Linked DNA regions of Oryzias latipes. The protein of the gene in region 5 interacts with the protein of the main gene of each other region in a pairwise test. Links are inferred from orthologs where the notes say so. Each region holds a gene or a part of one and is shown on either strand. Other genes may lie near its edges.

Evidence for each region.
Region 1: the proteins of cep63 (region 5) and ezh2 interact in binary tests that used the Homo sapiens proteins (3 or more experiments, as listed by UniProt). The two-hybrid records come from large-scale screens. The link is inferred for Oryzias latipes from reciprocal best matches to the Homo sapiens genes CEP63 and EZH2.
Region 2: the proteins of cep63 (region 5) and ppp4r1 interact in a two-hybrid assay, tested with the Homo sapiens proteins (2 studies listed by BioGRID and IntAct). The link is inferred for Oryzias latipes from reciprocal best matches to the Homo sapiens genes CEP63 and PPP4R1.
Region 3: the proteins of cep63 (region 5) and smc3 interact in a two-hybrid assay, tested with the Homo sapiens proteins (2 studies listed by BioGRID and IntAct). The link is inferred for Oryzias latipes from reciprocal best matches to the Homo sapiens genes CEP63 and SMC3.
Region 4: the proteins of cep63 (region 5) and fam161a interact in binary tests that used the Homo sapiens proteins (3 or more experiments, as listed by UniProt). The two-hybrid records come from large-scale screens. The link is inferred for Oryzias latipes from reciprocal best matches to the Homo sapiens genes CEP63 and FAM161A.
Region 6: the proteins of cep63 (region 5) and tbc1d15 interact in binary tests that used the Homo sapiens proteins (3 or more experiments, as listed by UniProt). The two-hybrid records come from large-scale screens. The link is inferred for Oryzias latipes from reciprocal best matches to the Homo sapiens genes CEP63 and TBC1D15.
Region 7: the proteins of cep63 (region 5) and pcnx4 interact in a two-hybrid assay, tested with the Homo sapiens proteins (2 studies listed by BioGRID and IntAct). The link is inferred for Oryzias latipes from reciprocal best matches to the Homo sapiens genes CEP63 and PCNX4.

What each region holds. Positions count from the first base shown.
Region 1 is NC_019878.2:3,247,520-3,251,019, reverse strand, and holds part of ezh2 (histone-lysine N-methyltransferase EZH2), read left to right. Parts: intron 1-900; coding exon 901-1,064; intron 1,065-1,148; coding exon 1,149-1,246; intron 1,247-1,322; coding exon 1,323-1,566; intron 1,567-2,729; coding exon 2,730-2,896; intron 2,897-3,500. UniProt on the Homo sapiens protein: Polycomb group (PcG) protein. Catalytic subunit of the PRC2/EED-EZH2 complex, which methylates 'Lys-9' (H3K9me) and 'Lys-27' (H3K27me) of histone H3, leading to transcriptional repression of the affected target gene.
Region 2 is NC_019863.2:13,852,844-13,855,737, reverse strand, and holds part of ppp4r1 (serine/threonine-protein phosphatase 4 regulatory subunit 1), read right to left. Parts: intron 2,829-2,894; coding exon 2,728-2,828; intron 1,366-2,727; coding exon 1,245-1,365; intron 994-1,244; coding exon 859-993; intron 1-858. UniProt on the Homo sapiens protein: Regulatory subunit of serine/threonine-protein phosphatase 4. May play a role in regulation of cell division in renal glomeruli. The PPP4C-PPP4R1 PP4 complex may play a role in dephosphorylation and regulation of HDAC3.
Region 3 is NC_019859.2:36,697,916-36,701,415, reverse strand, and holds part of smc3 (structural maintenance of chromosomes protein 3), read right to left. Parts: intron 1,377-3,500; coding exon 1,269-1,376; intron 1-1,268. UniProt on the Homo sapiens protein: Central component of cohesin, a complex required for chromosome cohesion during the cell cycle. The cohesin complex may form a large proteinaceous ring within which sister chromatids can be trapped.
Region 4 is NC_019859.2:4,112,955-4,116,925, reverse strand, and holds the start of fam161a (protein FAM161A), read right to left. Parts: upstream 2,801-3,971; 5' UTR 2,630-2,800; coding exon 2,474-2,629; intron 2,081-2,473; exon of another isoform or gene 1,738-2,080; coding exon 1,469-1,737; intron 1-1,468. Other genes in the region: cct4 (T-complex protein 1 subunit delta), read right to left, coding at 3,705-3,719, 3,797-3,910. UniProt on the Homo sapiens protein: Involved in ciliogenesis.
Region 5 is NC_019862.2:2,686,827-2,690,973, reverse strand, and holds the start of cep63 (centrosomal protein of 63 kDa), read left to right. Parts: upstream 1-1,347; 5' UTR 1,348-1,610; intron 1,611-4,147. Other genes in the region: uncharacterized protein LOC111947333, read right to left, coding at 163-491. UniProt on the Homo sapiens protein: Required for normal spindle assembly.
Region 6 is NC_019864.2:5,639,853-5,643,352, reverse strand, and holds part of tbc1d15 (TBC1 domain family member 15), read right to left. Parts: intron 2,383-3,500; coding exon 2,279-2,382; intron 2,191-2,278; coding exon 2,096-2,190; intron 1,092-2,095; coding exon 975-1,091; intron 1-974. UniProt on the Homo sapiens protein: Acts as a GTPase activating protein for RAB7A. Does not act on RAB4, RAB5 or RAB6.
Region 7 is NC_019880.2:12,135,017-12,138,741, reverse strand, and holds the end of pcnx4 (pecanex-like protein 4), read left to right. Parts: intron 1-666; coding exon 667-770; intron 771-851; coding exon 852-1,945; intron 1,946-2,052; coding exon 2,053-2,239; intron 2,240-2,320; coding exon 2,321-2,572; 3' UTR 2,573-3,225; downstream 3,226-3,725. Other genes in the region: dhrs7 (dehydrogenase/reductase SDR family member 7), read right to left, coding at 3,492-3,533.

The DNA.
Region 1 (3,500 bases), on a different chromosome or scaffold from region 5:
ATGTGAAGAAATTCTTGAGTGACAAACGTTCTGCAGGTTTTTAGACCTCCTTGTTCATTTCAGACGTCCTCTAGGTAATAATGCTAGATTCATATCAATATTGGAAAATGTTTCAGTATATTGCCCAAACAGCCCCCATGAAGAAATGTGGAGCAATCTGCAGCTTTTGATTCCAGTTAATTAAAAAATGATTCCTTAGATTTTAAACAGAATAATGGTTCATTCCGCCAGTCCAGTTTTCACCAATCCACATCCAAATGCTTTAACTGCATCGATGAAAAACAAACGTCCTGTTACAGAAACCAACACATTTGAGAAAATCTGTTCTGAGCATTTTGCCAGCATCACTAGTAAAGACTACAAACTTTAGGAAAAGGAAATTTGAAGTTTAGGCCAAAAAGACTGATGTCCATCCATTTACAGCTTTATAATCTGTTCTCAGCTCAAACAATGCAGAGAAGCTTCAGGCCAGCAGGACAGAGGCTTTTAACCAGCAACACCTAAATAATGCGCTTTTTGACAAAACGTGACTGTTTGGCTGAGAAAGCGACTTTTCATTCTGGTTTGCACTGATACAGCAGCTATAGCTGTCCTCTAAAACAGAATCAGCTGATGTATGTTGATTATGTAAGCGCTTCACTACTGCTTTTTACTGGAATCACGTTAATTGCGTCAATGGTTGAACAGTTATGGTAGTCGAAAGAATGTAAACTGGAGCTAAAGGTTCGGTGTAGAAGAATGTCCCTTTACAGTCCCGTGGGCAGGTCCTTATTATTTTATGTAAATATGATGTTGGAGTCAGAGAACGTCCTGGTGCATTTGCTGTTTTATGCATGGATTTCCTGTTGATGACAGAAGCAGTGGAGCGACTTTGGCTCAGGCTGCCTGTTTGTGTTTCAGGTACAAAGAGCTGACAGAGCAGCAGCTGCCCGGCGCTCTGCCGCCCGAATGCACGCCCAACATCGACGGGCCGAACGCTCGCTCCGTGCAGCGCGAACAGAGCCTGCACTCCTTCCACACACTGTTCTGCAGACGCTGCTTCAAATACGACTGCTTCCTGCACCGTGAGTGCTCACGGAGGCCTCACAGCCTCAAACGTCTGCATGACTCGGTGTTTGAAGGTTAAGCCACGCCTTTCCCTCTTTCAGCTTTTCATGCAACTCCAAACACATATAAGCGCAAGAACCTGGAGAACCTGGTGGAGAGTAAGCCCTGCGGCATCGACTGCTACATGTATCTTGTTCAGGTGAGTTTTCAATGTTGCTGTCTGACTTTTTGAAAGGAGGAACAAGTGGGCTGAAACTTTGAACTGCGTCCCCCAGGACGGGATGTTTCGGGAGTTTCCTGCTGGTGTTGTTGCAGAGCGGGCCAAGACGCCGTCCAAACGCTCTGTGGGTCGTCGCCGCGGACGGCAGCCCAACAGCAACAGCAGCTCTCGACCCAGCACCCCCACCATTTCCTCAGAAACCAAAGACGCCGACAGCGACCGCGAGGACGGCAAGGAAGACGAGCGAGACAACGATAAGGACGATGAAGACAAGAAGGACGAGACCACCAGCAGCTCAGGTACTTCACCACAGGCTGTGGCTTTCCTGATACTTTCACTGTTCCCTTTGTGAGCTGATGAGAAATCTTACAGAGAATGTTTTCAAGAACTCCAACACTGTTCAACCTTTGTGTTTGGATGAACGTTTGACCTTCATTACTGAACGCAGCTTCTCTGTCAGCTCCAGAGTCATCCTCAATGACAGAGTCTCTGCTGCACTTGGAAAACATTTCCACAACCGAAAGAAAACCAAAAACGGACAGTCGTGACGTGAGAAAGAGCAGCAGTGTAGAGCAGGGGTCTGCCACCTGAGGCTGTGGAGTCACATGTAGCTCTTTATCCCTCCAGCGTGGCTCCATGAATAAATAATAATACGTCTGTTAGTCAACTTTGTCCTTCATGTTCAGATTTTTCAACTGGTGAACTTACATTGGTTGAACTATCCTTTTTTTTAAGTACATCAACATCAAGAGGCATTGAGAGCTTGACCTTTTCTCCAAAATGCACACGTGTCAGACATGAGCAAAATGATGATCTATGGTCAGAGTGGGTCATTACTAGAATAAGATTAAAGCTCATATTCTCATATTTTATATCTAGTTGCTGTTCAGAGGCAAAGTTCTTCAAGTAAAATTGGAACTTAATCTGCTGCAGCAGGAGGATCTTATTTGACACAGGATGTGCTTTATTTTGAAAGGAACTTGTATGTGCTCCTGTCAAAACTAACGGAACAGAAATATAACACTGTTCTAATTGGATAATTGTAAGTATTTATAAGCTACATTTTTGTAAATGCATGTCCGAAGGGACAGAGAAACATCAATTAAGTGTATTTTCTAAACAGTGAGGTGGACTTTGCAGCTTTCGTTGGGTTTTGCTCTGTCAGAAACTGGACCAAATGGGTCTTTTAGTGTGAAAGGTTTCATCCTCCTGGTGTAGAGGGAAGAGCAGTCGCCATGAAAACGCCTTTTGAAAACCAAGTCAGACCAGACTTCACACAAAAACGACAGCACTCCACTCTATAGCCGTCTACTGTCAGCTCCCTTAGAGGAAACACCCTTTACATATTCTCATCTCATATGAGCTGTAACTGCCTTTAACACAAAAATGGAATATTGATTACCCAGAATGCCTCTTCAGTGCAGTCACACGGTTGTAAGGATTGCTGTTTGGATGTGTTCAGAGGGGAACTCGCGCTGCCAGACTCCGGTGAAGATGAAGCTGACGGGTGAAGCAGAGGCGGTGGAGTGGAGCGGCGCTGAAGCGTCTCTGTTCAGGGTTCTCATCGGGACGTACTACGATAACTTCTGCGCCATCGCGCGCCTCATTGGCACCAAGACCTGCAGACAGGTGAGCTGTGATGCACAGTGAACACGGGTCAGAAAGAGATGCACTTTCTGATTACGTTATGGCTTTTTGTGTGTTTTTATACCCAAAAATGAGATGGGATTTATGGCTCTTTTTAGGGAGCCAAATCTTTAGGATCAGTTCATTTAAAAGAGCCGTTCAAAACAGTGGCTCATTTGGCTCTTTTTTAAATGTACCGTATTCCTTTTTGAAGAAGCCAGCCGGGAGTTTATTCATTTCATCCTGGGAATAATCCCAGGGAGGGTTGATGGGCTGAGATCTGGATCAGAATCATTCAAATACAGATTTCTCACCAACAATTGAGTTCAAATTATTTTTGAAAGCTCAATTATAGCTTCATTTGACATGTGTGCAAAAGATGTCTGATATGGATTCAATGTAAACATTCCACTTCTATATCCCTGTAAGTTGATGCTGAGATCACCATTTCCCCCTTGTATAAAGAGTGGACCATGAATTCATGCAACAGGTCCAGTTTCTTACTGACAAGACTGAGTTAGAGCTGCAAAATCTCACTACTCTATTTATAAAAATGCAACAGCAGTTCCTTTCAAAATAAAATACTGTGTCAGTGAACTCCTCTTGA
Region 2 (2,894 bases), on a different chromosome or scaffold from region 5:
AAAAACAAGTTTTGTAATTATTTTCAGTTGCAGATAAAACCAGCAACACAAACACCCCCCTTTCTGAGCTGAATTGTCCCTCTTGTGTCTTTGAGGACATTTGATTTGGAGACAGCCATGGACACAGAAACAGGAAAAAAAAAAAAAAAAGTGGAAAGCTGCACTGACTAGTCACAGTTTGTAAGTTGATGGGTAAAAACCCCTCAGAGCCCAGAGCACTTTGCTCACTTTTTGAGGTTCAGGTTATCTGCAAGCTTTAATGTGCATCTGGGCTTTTAAACACAAATGAAGTTCTGTTGTTTCACCATGGCTACATATGTAAAGTATGACATGGGCAAGTAAATGAGTTGATCGTTCCCAGAGAATTGTGGGAGGATTTTATAGGCGGGACCAAGCCGAACACCATCTACTTGCTGGTCTTTAATTGACACTGACAAATGTTTTCTTTTGTATGCGAAAACAGCAGAAACAGCTGATATTCAGAGGAAAGTGTTCCTGTTAGAGATCAAACAGATTCACCAGAAATGAAACAGAGAAAACCACAGAACTTTTTAGTCTGTCCAAGTTTTACTCAAATAAAAATGATTGAATGCATGTTTGCATTTAGGAATCAAAGTCTTCTTTGCTGTATTAAAAATTAAGTGAAAATTTTTCCATCAGTTTTGCTTGTAACTTAGAATCACACAGCAGTAATAAAGTTCACACCGGTCAGTCTGTCTTTTGGTTTAGGAGCTCAGTATCAGCATTTTTATACATTCAGTTGAAAGATTAAAACCAAAATAAACAAAAGCGTGTTCAAAGAATTATTGAGAATACCTCTTCCCTAATATAATGTGGATTCTAAAAGCAAACACAGACCTGGCAGATGAAGGCAAACGCCTGCCTCCCCACCCACTTGGGACAGTGGCAGAACCTCACGGTCAGCTCATTGATGAACTCCAAGCCCAGGTCATCAGCCCTGCTGGCATACAGCTTCTGCAGAATTTCCACCACCTGACGACAGGTAAGAGCACACAACCCACTCAGACCACTTCTAGAAGTTTCAATGAATGAATCAGCAGCTGACAAATTGGAATATTTTCCCCAGATGTCGCCTTGATGCTAAAACCTGAATCATGATGGTTATGGGTTTTTTTCTTCCATGTGTGTAGCATCTAAACTTCCTCTCTATTGTGATACTACTGTCATGTTTCTTTAAATATTTAGACATGTCTTTCTACAAACCCCATTTCTTGTAAACTTACCAGTTTGTAAGAAATCCACCGGACTTCTGACACTTTGTCAGAGCAAAGGGTGAGCGCTATATGTCTGAGGTAGTCGTACACGTCACGGTGGTTGTACAACTCTATTATCAAGATCAGCTGCCTGTAGGAAAAAAAAAAACAGCAACACACAATTATGAAGCTGATAGAAAATAAAGTCAGTTAGAATACCTGTAATTTGAACAGATCTAGGGCTAAAAGAACTATGCCTGATTTTATTTAAGACAGGATTGTGTTATGACTTCATACCTATCAAAGCAGAAATGCATTTATGCTCCATGATATGTGGCAATAGGAGCTACTTATTGCGTTCATGTGCACACATGTTCAGTGTGTTGGTTACTGTTGTCACTGCTTGAAGCAAACGTTAAAAATACACAACAGAAAGGGCAAGCTGCCAGCAATGTGAAGCCCGGACTAGATCCAACTGGCACTAGGACCCTGAAGAGACCACGGTCAAGAAAGAGAATATTCTCCAGACACTGTGTCATGAATAATTCACACTTCTCCATTGACGCATGTTTTTGCCTCAACAGTGCACAAGTGTGTGAGCAGAACCAAATGCTAGAATGTTGTAGAATGACTTTCTTTTTCATGTTATGGTTATCTCTTAAAATATACAGATTTTGGCTTTATTCCCCCCCCAAAAAAAGAAGCTAGAAATACAAATAATTATTATTTACTAATCCAGCAAGAGACAGCACATGAATCTGCTGTCAATCAGGATAATGTGGTGTTAAATAAACATAAAAAAAGGGAATGTACAATCCTAAACCCCTTTTATAGATACAGTGTTCATCCATGGTGGTCTCGCTGTTTTCAGATTTTTTTTAGCGTGATTTTGCATGTTTTGTTTACAACACAATGTGTTCTACATCTTGATTGGCTGTTGACCTCGTCAATCAATTTCCTCTGTGCTGCATCTCCTGTAGAGGATGCTTTCAGCGTTCCCCTATTTACATAAAACACTGATCGAGAACAGATCTTTGTATTTATTCTATAATACTGGGCTCATTTTTCCATGAAGGTCTTAGCTTTGAGAGTTTAAACAAGAGAGAAAATGGGAAAATGTAAAGTCTGTCTGAAAAAGTATCGAAAGTGTGCCTAAAGGCTTTTACAGCCTTAAACATCTATACTCTTACTTTGTGGATTTCACCCATCTCGGTTTAATTATCCCTGACAATAAACGAGGGAACACTGTTATTAGTCTGGCTAAAATATTATGATATCTAATATATTGGTTTGCATCCCTCACCCCCTACTGAAACTGTTTCTTAACACCATAGTAGTAGGTTTGCAGATGACAGCCCCTAAACCTACTACTATGATGGAATCAACCTGGATGAATGAGAGTCCTCATAGACATGTTTTTTAACACAGAAATATGAAGCAGTGCTTTATGAATAAACTGAATAGAAAATGATGTTCAAGTCTGTTGTGTGTGAGGAAACAAAAGTCAACGTACTCTGCCAGCTCATATCTGAATCTCCAGTTGCGACTGTTGTCTGTGACCATGAACTCCTGCAGTTGGTACAGATACTCTCTCCTTTTGTCTGCATGCAGCAGCTGCAACAAGAGAATGACAAACAACATTATCTAGCACACCCATGCCAACGACTTCCTTTGGTTTAG
Region 3 (3,500 bases), on a different chromosome or scaffold from region 5:
ACTGAAACCCATCTGCTTTGGAAGGCAAGGCGGGGCTCGAGGAGGTTGTGGTGGGCCTCTGTGTCGGGTGAAGGTGAGACACCAGCAGAGGTTCCAGTGGAGGGATGTGGTCAAAACCATCCTCTTGAACGCCCGGGGGGGTGAGGTTCTAGGTGGAAAGTGGGTCGCCTCCTGCAGGCTCTCGAGGAAACACCAGAAGATCAGGCTTTCTGGAGGCGTTTCCATCGTAGCGAGACATGGAGGTCTCGTGGGGGCTTTGAGCCACTTGACACCCAGCTTTACATCTGCTTTTCTGCAGGCATCGTGCAGGTCCACCGCATAAGTCAGGTTTGTAAATCCACTACGTCTGCAGTCCTCCTCGGATCCGAGGCTGATCTCCAGAGTCAGTTTTGGCGCCAAGCAGTGTCTCACCACTCCAGGGGTGTGGCCTCGTCAGGCTCCTCACGGTTGCTCAGCGGTACGGCAGCCTCTAGCTGGTCGCCCTAAACTGAAGCCCATGGGAGGCAAATATCTGCGGACGCAGTCGGTTAACTCAGGCGGAGGGGGGGATTGGTTACCCTAATCATTGTTTTGTGGGGTTTGAGGGAGAGCCATGCACAGTGTTCACAAGGGACCGGAGAAGCTATCGCATCCTGGACCGTATGGTTTGCTTGGAGACAAACCAGCTACTCAACTCAGAGAAGGTAATGTGGCCTCGATGATCCAGTGATCAGTTTGCCCTCTGAACAGTTAAGCTACGCTGTTACAACAAAAGCTCTCCGCTTCTCGGAGCAAGCGTGTTGGACTGAGGAGGAAAAGGTGACGACCAACTTCTATTCTAGAGTAGACGTCACCTTCTGTCTGCCAGTCGGGCCGGGGAAAAAGCTTCAGAGGAAAACGCATGGGGAGGGGCGTGTCCTCATGGTGAGATACTGAATGAATGTAGAAAGAAAACTCTCAGCATTGTTCAGTTGTCCCACAAAAGACAAAACAATACACTAAATTCTTCAGGTCCTGATACAGAATATTAGGAGGCATCACTCCACCAGGCTCTTGATTCCAGCGGCAGTAATGCCCCAGATCCATTAAGCAATCCTGCTTTGTAGTTCCCAAACATTATTCAAGATTTTTGTAGCACAATCAGTTTGAGGTCAGTCAGCACAACCAGAATTCACACAAACTGTACCGTACACAAGACGCAGCGCTGATTTTAGGAAAAATGTATTAGGTTTAAAGTTTACGTGTCCCTTTTGGTCCAAAGAATACGGTATAAAACTCTCAAAATGTACCTGCTCCACTTGATCCAGTCTCTTCCGTAAGTTCTCATTCAGATAGGTCTCCACCCGGGTCATGATCCCCTCCAACTTGATTCTCTCATTCAGAAGTTGTCTGTTGTCCTGTGAAAACAAACCAACAGTATTTGACCCTCTGATGTTTGCACAAAGCAGAAACTTCCAGACACTGACTCTAATGTGAGGATGACATAACACTGCTCTGTCACATCTATTCTCACCCAAAGTATGAATTATGTCACCAATAATCAGAGAAACAGAATTTACAAGTGGGGGGCAGTGTTATGGGGGTGGGGGCTGTTGTGCAACAACAGTAGGAGGAGAGTGGAGCGAGCAGCAATGAGTTGGGGCAATGCCAGATTCCAGGAGCGTCCCACACACAGCTGCAGCTCTCCTCCATCATCTGAATACACTAGCAGGAGCAGCAGAACCAGAACCAACAATGGGAACTTTATAACAGACGTTTTCTCTGAAACCACGGTCGGCATTGATGGATAACAATACATTTCTAAATCTGTCCCTCCTCACAGGTGCAGGACGCTCTAAGAACAAACAAAAGCTGGCCCTCTCATAGCTGAACACAAATATATTCATCACTTCTGTACTAAAAGCCAATATTCATTAGCAGTAATGAGAAGGATGAGGGGGCTGAAGGAGGATGTTATCAAGTAACTGGGTTGCACTGATTTTGTCTGGAACTGCCGTCATCAAGTTTCAACCTGTAGAGAGCAGGTAACGAAAAACATAAAACACATCGCTCAAAGACAAGACTGAACATGTGAGGAAGATCAGTAAAAAACTCACAAAACCCAAAGGCACTGCAGGGAAAAAATGACTACGGAGCAACAAAGGTGGTCACTGCGGCTATTTACGGAGCAACAAACGTGGTCACTGCGGCTCTTCACGGAGCAACAAAGGTGGTCACTGCGGCTCTTTACGGAGCAACAAAGGTGGTCACTGCGGCTCTTTACGGAGCAACAAAGGTGGTCCCTGCGGCTCTTTACGGAGCAACAAACGTGGTCACTGCGGCTCTTTACGGAGCAACAAAGGTGGTCCCTGCGGCTCTTTACGGAGCAACAAAGGTGGTCACTGCGGCTCTTTACGGAGCAACAAAGGTGGTCACTGCGGCTCTTTACGGAGCAACAAAGGTGGTCACTGCGGCTCTTTACGGAGCAACAAAGGTGGTCACTGCGGCTCTTTACGGAGCAACAAAGGTGGTCCCTGCGGCTCTTTACGGAGCAACAAACGTGGTCCCTGCGGCTCTTTGCGGAGCAACAAAGGTGGTCACTGCGGCTCTTTACGGAGCAACAAAGGTGGTCCCTGCGGCTCTTTACGGAGCAACAAAGGTGGTCCCTGCGGCTCTTTACGGAGCAACAAACGTGGTCACTGCGGCTCTTCACGGAGCAACAAAGGTGGTCACTGCGGCTCTTTACGGAGCAACAAAGGTGGTCACTGCGGCTATTTACGGAGCAACAAACGTGGTCACTGCGGCTCTTCACGGAGCAACAAAGGTGGTCACTGCGGCTCTTTACGGAGCAACAAAGGTGGTCACTGCGGCTCTTTACGGAGCAACAAAGGTGGTCCCTGCGGCTCTTTACGGAGCAACAAACGTGGTCACTGCGGCTCTTTACGGAGCAACAAAGGTGGTCCCTGCGGCTCTTTACGGAGCAACAAAGGTGGTCCCTGCGGCTCTTTACGGAGCAACAAAGATGGTCACTGCGGCTCTTTACGGAGCAACAAAGGTGGTCCCTGCGGCTCTTTACGGAGCAACAAAGATGGTCACTGCGGCTCTTTACGGAGCAACAAACGTGGTCACTGCGGCTCTTTACGGAGCAACAAAGGTGGTCCCTGCGGCTCTTTACGGAGCAACAAACGTGGTCACTGCGGCTCTTTACGGAGCAACAAAGGTGGTCCCTGCGGCTCTTTACGGAGCAACAAAGGTGGTCACTGCGGCTCTTTACGGAGCAACAAAGGTGGTCACTGCGGCTCTTTACGGAGCAACAAAGGTGGTCCCTGCGGCTCTTTACGGAGCAACAAAGGTGGTCCCTGCGGCTCTTTGCGGAGCAACAAAGGTGGTCCCTGCGGCTCTTTGCGGAGCAACAAAGGTGGTCCCTGCGGCTCTTTACGGAGCAACAAACGTGGTCACTGCGGCTCTTTACGGAGCAACAAAGGTGGTCACTGCGGCTCTTCACAGAGCAACAAAGGTGGTCACTGCGGCTCTTTACGGAG
Region 4 (3,971 bases), on a different chromosome or scaffold from region 5:
GACCCACCTCGAGCACAGACTAAACCCCGCCCAAAGCCAATTACTTAAAACCATTGACTGTATATGAGAACTGGACTGAGTGAATGTGACGTCACCCATGGAAAATGGTTTACTTATGGCTCCAACAAAATGTAATCAATTCAGTCGTCTGTTTTTTGCGATACAGACACCACCGTGTTGGAGTCAGCAGTGATATGTCCAAATTGGACCCCTGCATTTCTATGGCGACAACTCTCACCAATCGGTACTGTTGGAAGTCCACATTTCTACCACCTGTCAATCAAGTTTACAAAACTTTGGCCGCTGAATTTTATTGAGGCATCTGATGGGTCAGCTTATAGCTTGAATAACCTTTACAACAGAAAAAATATCATGAAAGAACTAAGATTATTGAGAATTATGATAATCTTTTGATTTTTAGAGCATTCCCAGTGGTCTTTCAATTATGATTATGCTGTTTTTAGCCAAAATAATTTTTTTTTGGCTAAAAGTTTCTGCAGAGTGGCAGGAGTTCATTAGAAATTCACCTCTGAGTTTTGGGTTAGGGGTTAAGCTAAAGATGACGTCTGTCACCCACAGCAGAGAGTTCTCTGTTTACACTCTCTCTCGCTACCTTTCAGGCCCTTACACCCCCAACCTAACATTACTGTGGATGATGGTGAAGCTCTTCAACCGTACAGTCTAGATCCAGATTCCAGCTCAGAATGGAGCAGGGAGCTTTTGGCCCACCCAGCGTATTTTCTACATCACAAATATCCTCTTTTTCAAACTGTTTTTTGTCTCATCTGCTCCTGATTCACAGCAATTTGAATAAAGAAATACTCAGAAATGCAATTATAACCTTAATTCTCTTCAAAGTTGTCCTCCATCTTCAGAAAAATGCCATAAGAACATGTTAAAAACACCACAAAACTGTGATTTTCTATGAAAATCACAGTTTTCATAGAAGTGGGTCTTTAAAAAAAAAGGTTTCAGAGCAAGAATAGTTATTCTGAAAAATAGAATGACTGAAGAACTTCTGTTTATTTCTCTATAGAAGTCTATGCGATTTTGGCCTGTTTGGGACGCCAGGAGGGAGGGGTCACTCAGTTCAGTTCTCATTTACAGTCAATGGTTGAATCCTGCAAAACATGCATAAGATAGGCCGAAGCTTTCTTCCATGCATGACAGTATAATCTAAAAAAGAAATGGACATGCGAACAATAAAAAATTTAAAGAGGAAATCTTTAAGCTTTCCAGGTAATTTGTTTTTTATTCTTAAAAGCAACCCTAAAACATGTTCAATTGTAGGCAGCTGAGCTAATTATTTTATTTTATTTCTGCAGGAATGAATATCTCATAATCAAAGTCCCTTAATCTCAGTGAAAATATGGTTAATATATAAAATAAAAAAACAACAACAATAGTCTCGGTTTGCAAAATTAGTGTTAAACTGTCAAAGAAATTCCTTTAATCCGGCCCAACTGACCTGTGACCGATATCCAGGGCCTTCATATCAAAAGCTTCACCGGACCTGAGCTGCAGCTTCTGCTGGTACATGCTTTCCAGCTCTGCCATGGTGCGTTCGTGGGCCCTCTTCAGCTCCTCCAGCTTGCTGTAGTATTCCTCATTGGAGAAGAAGATTTCACTCAGGTCCAGGCGGTCGACGGCTGCCCTGAAGCTGCCCCCCACGTGAGCTCCTCCCATCCCCAGACAGTCCTCATCACAGAAATCCGAGCCCGAGTCCCAAAACTCCAGCTGAAATGCCCAAAGGTCACTCAAGGATCATCATGTTAATTAACAGGTATTTGAAGGCTTCCTACATGAATTTATTAAAAGTTTGTTTTCACTTCTATGCCCTAAAGAACACTGCTGCCCTGTTGAGGGGCAGTAAGGTCTTCAGGACTAAGCTCATTATCCTGCAGTCACAATGATCAGAGCCATATGGTTGGAACACAAAGGTGAGCTCAGCATGAAGGAGCTCCGCTGACATCTACTCCTCCTAAAGTGTCCGGCCTCCATTAAAAAGGATGTTTGTCAGAAGCGTTTCTGAAAATTAGACCAACTTGCTACGAGGTGTTTTTTCCACAGAAGGTCATTGCTGTTAAAAGGATATAAAAGAGATTACCGACCCAACAAGACTTCTGGTAATCTAGTGAAGACAGAAATCCAAAAATAGACGGGACAACAAATGACAGATCAAATCCCTTCCACCTGGCTGACCTGAAACTGTCAACATCCTGTTAACTGGACATAACCTGTCTCAGGTCAGAGGGAGCTGCACTCAGACTACAGGAAAACAACAGCTTCACCCACCTTCACATTGTAATAAATAAATAAATAAATAAAATATAGTATAACAACCTCCAATCTAAAGTGTATACAAAGTTTCTATATATCTCAATAAATACAGAGTTGTCTTAACTATTTTTAGAAAGATTATTATTTTGAAAGTGTGACTTTTATTGTGAAATATTTTTAAACATGTGTTTACCTCTTTCTCATAGTCCCGGTTGTCCAGCTGGCCTGCAGTCGCGTGCGTTAGGACTGCCCCGCGCTCGTATGACGCAAGCGGCGCCTTGGTGTGCGGGTCCACCGGCGCCTTCAGACAGGAAGTTAATAAAACGTTCGTCCGGTGAGGATTCGCCATCTTTTTGTTGAAACAGTTTTTTTTTTTTAAAAAAGCGCCTTGATGAGGTTCTGTTACTTAGTTCGTTCCCCGGAGGGAACAGTCGTTGTCAGGTTGGCTGGCTTCTTAGCAACGGAGAAGCATCGTTAGGAAGGAAGTGACGTAAAACGGAAGCAAAGAACAAAGCTCTGATACAAAATAAAAGCGTTGGAAACGTGTACATTTTTAAACTGAACGCTTAAAATGAATCGAGTAAACACAGGTTCTGACCATTAAAATGTATATATTTTTTTCTTATTTGATTAATTGAATGAAAACGGCTACTTAAATAAAAAAAAGTATCTTAATTCAAATAATAAAATTACTTATGCATTGAATTTATTTTGCATAGAAGCAGGACTTTTTTTTTGAACCAGGCCATGATCATCACCCAATTTTTGAAGACACACAAAAATTCTATCTAAAGATTTTACATTTTTAACCAATTCTATAGAAAAGCAGCACCGTCCACGTCTTGGATGAGCATGAGGTCAGAGGCACCGGCGCCTGGAGTCTAATTTTTTTTAAGGTATGAGTGTTAGACTGACCAGGAATCACTTTAAATTCTATTGTATGCGTGACAATGACAAATAAAGATCTGTCATTACTCTTTAATCAAGAGAAAACCTTATTTTATAACAGCAAATCAACATTTTACATTTAGGTCATGTTTTATAATGTTACCATTAGTCTGATAAGTACTAGAAACCAGATTTTATGCATCTTTTCATGCTGCAGAAATTATTTGGTAAATACGTGTTAACTCTGCGTTAATATTTCACATACTTTTTTCAAATTAGCGGTTTTCAAGACATACAATTTAAAAAAAATGAAGACCAGAACATGTTTCTAAATCTGTGTACTACACTTTAGTGCAACATAAAGACAAAGACAAAGAAAGAAAGACAAAAAGAGGCAGCAGTGTCAACAAAAAAAACCCCACAGCCTTTTATTAAATTAGGCAATGCAATAACTACAGCAGAAATCGGAGCAGACTGCTGTCGACGTGATGCTCTGATCCCTCGCAGAACAAACGGGCTTCAGAAACCGGACAGACCTATCGAGTGTTCACCTGGAACCAGAACACAAAAATTAATTTCCAATCATACTTCTGTAAAATGAAAAAGGGAATCCAGTTCTGAGTCTTACCACGTCATCGATCTTGAGGATGCTACGGACCGTTTCTGTGGCCAGAGTCAACGCGCTGATGGAAACCAGCACGGGCTGCACCACCAGCTCCTCCAAGATGTTTGAAATCCCCCCCTGTCCAAAAAATAAATAAATCTGTCAAGCTGTCAACCGCGCACAGACGGAGCAAAAGGAA
Region 5 (4,147 bases):
ACAATACTAGAAAGAGGAAATCAATTTTTCTATATGGTGTTTTGGAAGAAAAGCGCCAGTATTTATCTTTGATGATGTCATCCACTGTCAGCAGAGCGGAGGCACAGCATCACTAAAAAGCTGACCTGTGTGTTGGACGTGCTGTTCCCCTGCAGAACTCACCATTCCATCTGTAATGAGAGGCGCTGCTTGGTCTCCAGCTCCTCTCCTTCCAGTTTGAGTGTGTCGTCCTCCTCTCCTGCCTCTGCGATCTGCTCCCACTGCCTGCTGTCCACCCACAGAGCTTCCTGCAGGCTGAGGCCTCGGTCAATGCAGGTGACCCTGCGGCACAGCGGGCAGGCCAGCGCCAGGTAGCTGCTCCTGACCTGCTGCATGGCCTCCAGACACAGTTCACAGAAGGTATGTCTGCAGTGAAGCACCCGGGGGATCCTGTCCATGCGGGAGTAAGGGAAGAAGCAGACGGTGCAGTCGCTGTCCTCACACAGAACCATGGTCCAGATGGACGACGGCGATGTTCCTGCTGAGAGCCACAGAGGAGCTGCAGAAGGTCCCAGACGGTCCCACGGGCCCGGCTGGGAAGAAACATGAAAAGATTGTCCTTTGGTCAAACTTTACCCAGGAATGACAGCTGTATTTATTTCTACTCTAAGGAGAAAAAATGAATTAGAGGAATTTTTGATATTTTAATTCTTGTGAATGCAACCATTTCACATCAAGATAAGAAAACTCATTATTTTCTTGGATAATAACATGTCCTTTTAATAGTAAAAAGTTACAGTATAAAAAGAAGTTTACCACTGACAGAAGAAGAGGAGTCATGTTCAAATAAATCAAATGTTATACTTACTTGAGTGAAATGCTTCTAGTTCTCGTTCAGATCAGGTTTTTCCAAGTGGCTCAGTCTGCCTGCAGTCAAGAACTGTAAATGAACTGTCGCGTCTGCCGCCTGTTGAGAGTCCGCCGCGGCTGGGGGCGGAACAGAGACGTCTGTCACCGCCCAGGACTCGCCCAACAACAGCTGGGGAAGCTGAGCCAAGCCTCCGTCTTTGTTCCTGTGTTTGCTGTTAGGCCGGTGGAGGGCTGGTCGAAGGAGATGACTAACTTAGAAATGGTAAAAAGTTAAAAAAATAAATAAATAAATAAAATAAAAAATATCCACTCCAACCACTTGGATAAAAATGTTTTTCTTAGTGGAAAATAAAAAGCTTTGGGCAGTGGACAATAAAAACCTTTGGGCTCGTCCGGGATTTGAACCCGGGACCTCTCGCACCCAAAGCGAGAATCATACCCCTAGACCAACGAGCCACGCTTACACTTAGTCAAAATATGTAAATATAATCTGTATTGAGATGAAAATGGAGGGTGTGTCCGAATTCGGGGGCTGCGTCTTTCAGTGGCCGCGGCCTTCACGGTCGACGTTGGCCGGGTCATTCGTCGCGCGGGTTGTCTGGATGTTAACGGCTGTGAATTTGGACGAGTCTTAGCCGTAGATCATTCCAGCCGCGTCGGCGAATGTCCTGTCGCGTAGTAAGTAACGTGTCGCGTGACTGACTCAGAGAGGAGTAGTGATCCAGGCATGGAGTCCTTATAGTCCGGCTGAGACACAACAGGTACTGTACGGAGCCCGTGACCTGACATGGGTAAAAAAAAAAAATGTTCCCACGAAATAATAATTCATCTGATAAGTCATTCTTGGATTTACAGCAGATACTTTCACATTTCTGTCTGTGTATATTTCATTACAATGCATTGAAGACACGGAGGATGTTTAGAGGTCTGTGTGCACTTTTTTGGCATTTTCAACATGCTTATGCTAATTTAACAGACTATTTTCATTCATCTTTGTTGTTTTATGTTGAAACGGGACATTTCGTTTAAACATTGGTGTTCTGCGCATGACAGGTTCATGACGTAAGGTGACAAATGGACTTCTGGGTTTGTGATTGAAAAGGAAAATAAAGTAGCGGTCCTCTACACCCAAACGAGTCTCTGAGCTCCTTAGTTAACTCCGCTTTACCGACACCGAACCCTGGAAGGCTGGCTACACTAACAAAAATGTGATTTTAAGTCGTCAAAAGGCTCAAAATTTGTTTGTTTTTGAAACTTATCTGGAAATAAAGCTTCACAAAAGTCTCCACATATTTCGTCTTCAAGCTAGGCTCCGATAAACAGAAAACTTATGTGTTTTTACTTGTTTTTTACTATGACTTTTTCTTGTAGATTTACGAGAAAAAAACTCAAAAATTTACGAGATTTTAAGTTGTGAATTTATGAGATAAAACTCATAAATTAACGAGATAAAATCTCATAACGTCTTAAAATCTCGTAATTTAACAGTTATGACTTTCTTTCTCTGAAATTTACGAATTAAAAATCGTAATTTTAATTTTTTTTTTTTGTAAACTGAAAACTCCATCGTATTTATGAATCCACTGTGTTCTGAAGATAAAAACTTTGATGGTTTGTTTAAAATATACTTTATTTGGGGTAAAAATTGCTTTGACGCAATGCATTGTGGTCTATGGTACCGATTTACGTAGTGAGCACACTGGTTTTTGACAGAGCCTATGTCCGAAATCCCACCCTAACCGTTATATAGTGCATCTTACCATTTTGAAGTGCTGTCTGAACCTACAATTCCCAAATTGAGTGCCCCGCAGAAATTTCCCAGATGTCTCTGCGAAAAACCGGTGTGCCTCGACGCTCATTAGATCGGGAAATATAGACAACAATGCATTGCGTCTGTAATTTTTGCAGAAAAATGTATTTAAATGTTTTTAAAATGTTTTGTGTTTATCTTCAGAAGACAGTGGACTTATAAATAATCATCACAAAGTCACACCCCACCCCTCCCCTTTCGTTCTCACTCATGCAGCCCCGTGTGACACGAGATAGGAGCAGCTGCAGGGACGGGAATTCAAAGGTTTCAGGCTGTTACAAACTCTGTGATATAACAGACAACAGGAACCGAATAGTGGACCAGATATTTTTCCAAGCACTGAGCCGCTGTCACCACCGCCCCCATGTTAAATTTGCGCACCGGACGATTGCCCGTATTACCTGTGCATAAACCACCATCACCGCGCGCCCCCCCCTGACATCGCTTCGCGCCGCCTAGCCCCACTATTTGAGAAGAACTGGTCTAGTGGGTCTAGATGACCCAACTCCCAATGTTAAAGTGCCTAGGATAGCACGGTGTCTGAATAGCTTTTAAAATTCAAGGCATTATATAATGCTGCACTGTATAGTTTTTTTTAAAAGTTAGGGGTTAGGGCGGTAACAGGCTCCGTATGTATTCAATCTCTCAAAAAATAAAACAAAATTCTACAAGATGAAGTTCTCAAGAATTACACAATAGCTTTAGCTAGTTTAACGGACATATTTTATAACTTCCTTACAGGTTGTAAAATATATAATAACTGTAGTAACTTTGTGGGTTTGTAGAGTACCCCAAAATGGTTAATAAAAATACTTTTTTTTGTTTATTTACTTCTCATAAGTTTTTATACTAAATATAACTGTGTACAAGTACCTACCCTCTTTTGAGAATGTAAAAAAATTGTTATATAATAACTATAAACTATTTTTAAATTGTTTTATTAATCAGACTACATTAGTGTTAAATGTTAATTTTATCATGTGACTTATTTTTTGCAGAAATTAATTTTAACAATGTTTACCATACTCTTATTTGAATTCAGTAAAAGTTGAATTTAAGTATTTTGTTCTTATCATATCCAAGTAAAATCATCTTTTTAAGCCTCATAGAAACTTAAAACCAAATCTTTATAATAAAAAAGGATTTCTTGTGTATTTCTCTTTGACCAGACTAGATGTCTGTACTGCAGAATCAACTTATGGATAATCTTTGGTCACGCAGCATCCATCGACACCAAGCTCTGCAAACCCTGCTGATCTACAGTGAAGGCGCATCCCGAAACTCTCTTAGCAGATCAACAGACCAGATTAGTTTTAACCCTTTTGCTATCCTGGGAGTTGGGTCATCTAGACCCACTAGAGAGTGCTCTGAACCTTTTTTCTTGAATGATTTGTGATCTTCAGTGGTGTCCATGGATTACATGAAATCTTTCCACCTTTGTCATGGTAGGGAGAACACGTCAAAGTAAGGGTGTAGTCATCATTTTGT
Region 6 (3,500 bases), on a different chromosome or scaffold from region 5:
GAGAAGCACCCCAGTTCAGCTGCCATGTACCCTGATGGGCATATGGGTGAAGTCCCCATGTCTCCAGGACAGAGACAGGTCTCTCACTGTGGTGTTGGCTTATGGGCCAAACCCAAGCTTCTCAGAGTCTCTAGGAAATGTACCAAAAAGTGCTTTGAAGGGGACTTCAGTGTTCTACTGAGAGACATCACCAGACACATGGGCAATGACAGCAATAGCTGGAGGGGCGTGATCAAGAAGAATGGTTTGCCTGATCTGAACCAGAGTGGTGCTTTGTTATTAGACTTCTGTGTCAGTCACAGTTAGTCCATAATGAACACTATGTTTGAGCACGACCAGGACATCTATATTGTGATGATGTTGTTCTGGTGGTTTCTGTAAAACCAGCTCTTTCAGTGTGTTCTGGGACAGTTTACCGCCAAGTTCGAAACAACTGAAGCAGGAATTAGCACTTAAAAGTTGGATGCCATGGTTCTCGATCAGAATGAGGGTGCACCCTCTTTGGGTAGGCAGACAGAGAGTTTTAGTATCTGGGATCTTGCTCACAGGTGAAGGATCGAGCTTTGGATCGATAGGTGTAGCGGCTGCAGTGAAGCTGATCCATCACTAATAAGACCAGATCTTGCGCTGGAGGGACTTTGTTGATTGGCTGGTCTGGGAGGACCATGTGGTTCTCCCAAAAAACTGGAAGAAGTTCCTGTGGGGAGGGAGGTCCTCGGATCTCTGCTTAGACTGCTGCTCCTCTGGATTACAGGTAGAAGATTCAATCGGCAGTATTCAGATTTACTTCTGGTTCACGCTGCTTTTTATTGGATCGTGGAGATTTACATGAGAAGTTCCTCCTCATGCTGAATTCCACTGTTGGTCTAAAGGTTTATAACGTGGGGGTCACTCAGTGGTCTCCTCATTCAGAACGGGAATGAATGAGGTTGAAAAACATGAGGTGGGGGCAACAGTCTTCCGCCAGCTCTCACCCAGGTCGAAGTCGTACATGCAGTAGGTCATCAGGATGTCGTGCAGCAGAGCCAGGCCAGGGTTGTCGATCCCTTCGTAGAACCGGTTGGTTCTGTCGGTCCGATTCACATCTTTCTCTGGAAACAGAGACAGATAACCATAAAGAAGCTGCAGCGCCAACAGAACAGGCACAAGACTCAGCAGTCTCCACATTCTCCATCCTCTTTAAATCAAAAAGTACTTAAAGTACTGTGATGTTGACTTAAGATCATCTGATGCTTGGGTTGGGGGCTTCAGTCTCAGAAAGACTGCCCTCTCCAAACTTTTAGACCTTTTAGGAAGTAACGGAGTTCATTTCTGAGCTTGGGTTGTTTTGGTTTTTTTGCGTCTCCCCCAGGACCAGTGTGCTCTAGAACAGCGTTTTTCAACCTTTTTCAAGCCGAGGTACACTTTTTCCTCGACAAAAATCCCGCCGCACACCAGAAACCAAAAATGTAAAAAAAAGAGAAACTCAATCGTCGGTATTGATGTTTAGTTTCTCTACGATCTCACGAAAATTTCTTGTAATGATTGAGAAACAAAAAATGTGAAGATTCAGCTGTTTTCCTTGATGTTGTGATAGTTTTCAATAATAATTTTTAACTAAATTAGTTAAAGATGTGCCCAGGTTTTTGTTTTTCCTTCAAGTTTGAAATTTTATGTAATTTTACGTAAACCTCACAAAAACCAAATAAAATGACATTCTTTCTAAAAGGTAATTAATTTTTCTAAATACTTTTTTATGTTTCTACCAGTTTTTTTTTAATGTGCAGTGTTTAGCGCTCTCGCCACACAGCAAGAAGGCTCAAGTCCCGGTTCAAGTCCCGGCTGGGGGACCTGAACCAGAACACCAATGGAGGACCTTTCTGTGTGGCGTTTGCATGTTCACCTCAGGCATGCGTGGGTTTTATCCGGCTTCCTCCTCCATAAGGAGAAGAGTTCCACAGCAAGCAGAACAAAAAGGTGAACGACAATGAAAAGATTACTGAAGAGACCAGGGGAATGCTAGCGTGAATAGAGCAGATCGACAAAAAGCAGGAGAAACATTGGAAAAGAGGTGGAGGATGAAGATTAGGACACAGACACAGAGCGTCTTCCTCACCAATCAGACTCCTGTAGTCTCTCAACCTGGAGTTTCTCCTCTCCTGCTCCTCACTCACGGACTTCCACTGCAGCTTCATCCTGAAGTACTCGTCTCTGCGGCGGACACAAACAACCACGTTTCCATGGGAACAGCATCTGCTGCAGATGCAGTCAGCTGACAGTGGTAAGGTCACCAGTATACGTTTTGTTCCTCTGCAGGAGCTTCCTCTCCTCCAGCGTGCTGCTCCATGGTGAATATCCCAGCAGACACTTCCACACCTCCTTCCTGACGGCGTGACACAGACCCTGCAGGTCACACAGAGGTCAGACTGAGTGACCCTGCAGGTCACACAGAGGTCAGACTGTGTGACCTGAGGTCAGACTGAGTGACCCTGTAGGTCACACAGAGGTCAGACTGAGTGACCCTGCAGTTCACACAGAGGTCAGACTGAGTGACTCTGCAGGTCACACAGAGGTCAAACTGAGTGACTCTGCAGGTCACACAGAGGTCAGACTGAGTGACCCTGCAGGTCACACAGAGGTCAGACTGAGTGACTCTGCAGGTCACACAGAGGTCAAACTGAGTGACTCTGCAGGTCACACAGAGGTCAGACTGAGTGACTCTGCAGGTCACACAGAGGTCAGACTGAGTGACTCTGCAGGTCACACAGAGGTCAGACTGAGTGACTCTGCAGGTCACACAGAGGTCAGACTGAGTGACTCTGCAGGTCACACAAAGGTCAAACTGAGTGACCCTGCAGGTCACACAGAGGTCAGACTGAGTGACTCTGCAGGTCACACAGAGGTCAGACTGAGTGACCCTGCAGGTCACACAAAGGTCAAACTGAGTGACCCTGCAGGTCACACAGAGGTCAGACTGAGTGACCCTGCAGGTCACACAGAGGTCAGACTGTGTGACCTGAGGTCAGACTGAGTGACCCTGTAGGTCACACAGAGGTCAGACTGAGTGACCCTGCAGGTCACACAAAGGTCAAACTGAGTGACCCTGCAGGTCACACAGAGGTCAGACTGAGTGACCCTGCAGGTCACACAGAGGTCAGACTGTGTGACCTGAGGTCAGACTGAGTGACCCTGTAGGTCACACAGAGGTCAGACTGAGTGACCCTGCAGTTCACACAGAGGTCAGACTGAGTGACTCTGCAGGTCACACAGAGGTCAAACTGAGTGACTCTGCAGGTCACACAGAGGTCAAACTGAGTGACTCTGCAGGTCACACAGAGGTCAGACTGAGTGACTCTGCAGGTCACACAGAGGTCAGACTGAGTGACTCTGCAGGTCACACAGAGGTCAGACTGAGTGATTCTGCAGGTCACACAGAGGTCAAACTGAGTGACTCTGCAGGTCACACAGAGGTCAGACTGAGTGACTCTGCAGGTCACACAGAGGTCAGACTGAGTGACCTG
Region 7 (3,725 bases), on a different chromosome or scaffold from region 5:
GTGTTGATGTTGATAAGGAGGCTTTACATGAATAGATCACATAATTACCAACCTATTGTTTTTGTATGAGCTTTGGAAGCTGTTGCTCAGACGTATTATTCATTTGGGTTGTTGGTTGAGAGATGGCAGTTTGTCCTATTCTTTTGCTTTGCTCACACTGGGGGCCACAGGGCAGTGAGCAGTAAAGGAATCTGCTTAATCTGTCACTTCACATCACAAGGTAACAGCTGGAACTATTCCGAGATGTCTTTCTGGGATGTGAGATTATCCTTAAACCACGCACCACGAGTCAATGCATAAGAATAGCCTGCTTCATTTTGCTGCTATTGTGCATCTGCATCAAATTAGCCTGACTTTCGTCTTCAAAAATTAAAAGCTCACGTTGTGTACACAGCATGAGTCTGTCCTTGACTTGACCAAAGGAAAAAAAAACAGGAGTTTTAATATTTAAATCTTTGTGCAGCTGGCTGTCTAGGGCAGTACCAATGTTGCAATAGACGCAGCTCATGACATTCTTAAAGTCAGCAAACAGGTGACACAAAATGAAAGTGGTGTGTTTCTAGATTCTTTGAGTGTCTCTGGGTGTGTACTCCATACTGCGGTTTGTTTATTTTACCTCATTAAATATGAGATACATAGTTGACAGATGCCTTTCTCTCTCTGTAGGTTCCTTAACCCCAGGCTCTCATTTTCTTGGCCGCTTCCAGGATCGTATGGTTTGGATAATGATTCTAGAGAAAGGATATGGCTACTGCACAGTCAATATTAAGGTAAGCAGTTAATCTTTGGGATATGTACCTTGTTGCAGGAATTTTACAGCAGCGTCACTTTGTTTGGTGATTTCCTTACAGGGTCTTGAGCTACAGGAGACCTCTTGCCACACAGTGGAAGCTCGGAGAGTTGATGAAGTGTTTGAGGCCGCCTTTGAACATCCTGAGCGTATTGGCTTTAGCCACGGGTTTAACTCGCACTGGGGAAACGCTCTTACTCCCTGCGCCACGCTCGAAGTGCGAGTGTACTCTGATGCTCGAAATGTACTTTCTGGCATCATTGACTCGCATGAAAACTTGAGGAAACTTCAGGATGACTTCATGAAAGTTCTGATCTGGCTGCTCCTTCGATATGGTGTACAGAAGCACAAGGGGTTTCTATGGAGCAGCCAGGAGGGGTCAGGGATTTGGGGAATGAAGTCCCAGTCCTCACAGTTTCCCCAGACCACGTGTAACCAGCCACCTGAAGCTGTTATGGTAGAATCAAATATATCCTCCGTTAAATTCAGACAAGACAGCTCCAGTACGACTTCTTTTGGTGACTGGTCAGACGAGGACGACCTGTTTGGACCCCAACCAGCCAGACGGACTGTGGCATTAGTGACTGCAGAGGCTCAACCTGGACACACAACGCTAGAGACAGGAGGTTCGCTGCCAGGTTCTGTAGAAATGGATAGTCTTTTTGAAAACATGGCGCTCTCTGCTCTTCAGCCCCTGCAGCCTCTGGGACTGGGCATCGGGATGCCAGCCGTAGATAAAGGATTAAACCCAGAGCTCTTCAGAGAGAACCCCCATCTGAACTTCAGCTGTCCCTACTCAGAAATATTCAACCTACCGCCGGGGTGGAGGACAGCACCGTTACTACCCTCCTGCTTGCTGTCGCTGCGGCCTTTATTTCCAGAGGAATGGTTCCGGTTCACATTGGGGCGGTTTGGGGTTGCCGTGCAGGGTCAAACCTCGGAGGACATGAACAAAGCACTAAAGGAAGACGAGGTTTTGAAAGAACTGCATGTTAAGGTTGCACTGTCATGCCTTATCTCACTTGGTGCTGAGACAGCCTTCAACAGTCCTAGTTACATATACAGGGTGTATTGTGGGGATGTGCCATGGACAGAAGGACTCGACTGGCTGTCATCAAGTAAAGAACTCTACCAGCTCACACTAAAAGCCTTCAGGTGACACTGCTGTTCAGAATCTCTTAAAGCTGATGATTTTCCACTGATTTTATGTTATTCAGTAAGATACATGTGAGACTTTTCTGCTTTTTTTAATTTTCCCTCAGGCTAAGTTTCAAGCTCTTGTTTGATCAGGCTAGCCTTGGGGCAATGGAGTCCCACGAGGAGTTGTTCAGCACTTTAGAAGATTATGAAAGAGACTGGTACATCGGTCTGGTGACAGAAAAAGGCTGGCATGATGGCGTCCTTCAGGAGAAGCCCTTCTTATTTTCCTTGGGACATGATCTTGCCATGGTGATGTGAAAGTTTCAGCCTATATTAGATTCTAAGCCTGTTTACCTAAAGATGACCCTCTTGAACATCTTTTGTCTACAGGGTACCTACACAGGCCGAGTCCTGACCCTGCAGGAGCAGTTGGTGCAGGTAGGCCACCTGAATGGCGAGGGGGTACGAGGCCAGTGGGCGAACCTCTCCTGGGAACTCTTGTACGCTACTAATGATGACGAAGAGCGCTACAGCATCCAGGCTCACCCTTTCATGCTTCGAAACTTAACCGTTCAGGCAGCCGACCCTCCTCTGGGCTACCCCATTTACTCCTCCGCGCCCCTTCACTTCCCCTGCCTCTGACCCATTTCCACTCCAACCTCTTTTTACACTCGGTCTTTATAATCGGTATTACCAACTAACATTTCTATTCTTTTTTTTCGGAGTAAACTTTTGCATTTCAATACAAATCCTTTTTTTTTTTTAAACCTGCAGACTTTTAACTTTGGAAGTTCATTTTCTACATTCTACTAACAAATGTGATTCTGGGTGCTTCATTGATCTAGCTGTAGCAAAAAGAAAACAGTCTCCATTTCAAAGAAGTTACAAAAGTTTCAAAGTTTATTTAAACAAAAAAAAACATTTCGTTGTTTAAACATGTTATTTAGGTCATCACTAAAGTTAAAATATTACGTAGTTTGTTAATGGTTGTGCTTTAATAAAAATAATGAACGTTTAGCCATATCCTTTGAGATGAACCTGCTACACTTTTGTGTTTTCTTTTCCCCTTGTATATCTCCCATGTCCATACAAAAGGGACTTTTAATGTTTTGTTAAGAATATCAAGGGTGTGCCTTGAGTATGTATTTTTGTATGTGTATGCCGTTTATTGCTATTGTTTGGTTTACAGTTCAATTGTTTACAGTTAAGGAGGAATAGTTAAGTTTATTGTATATAATAGTTTTTTATGTGTAACTGGTTCAACTTGTAATAAAAAAAAAAGCGTGGCAAATGCACACCTGGTCTGATTTGTTCAACCAAACTTTGATCCATAAATAAGTGTTTTATTTTGGGTAAGATGTAATTTTCTAAAAATAAGTTTTGATCATTTGTCTTAAGTTTGTGTTATGATCCGTGTACAATAGTACTTTTTATTTAATTTATTTTTTTATTTAAAATGAAAGATGGGCACTGTGCTCTTAAAGCAGTAGTAATTTTATTTTTAGAAAACATCTACCGTAGGAATGTAATAAACACCTTTGGTCTTGAAAAATGAGGTTTTTCAGGAGGTCTTTGGTTTCCTGAAGTATGCAGAGTCTGCATCCTGCAACAGAAAAATGTGATTAACGGCTCAACTTGGGGAAAATGCCTAATATATATTTTTTGCAAGGTTGAAAAATTTATAAATGAGTTACAATTTTGTGATGTTTACTAAGGTTTATCTGTAAGAAATAGTGTTTGATTTTCTTCACAACCCAAACCTTTCACTCATGTTAACCCCTCAATGTTAAACTAG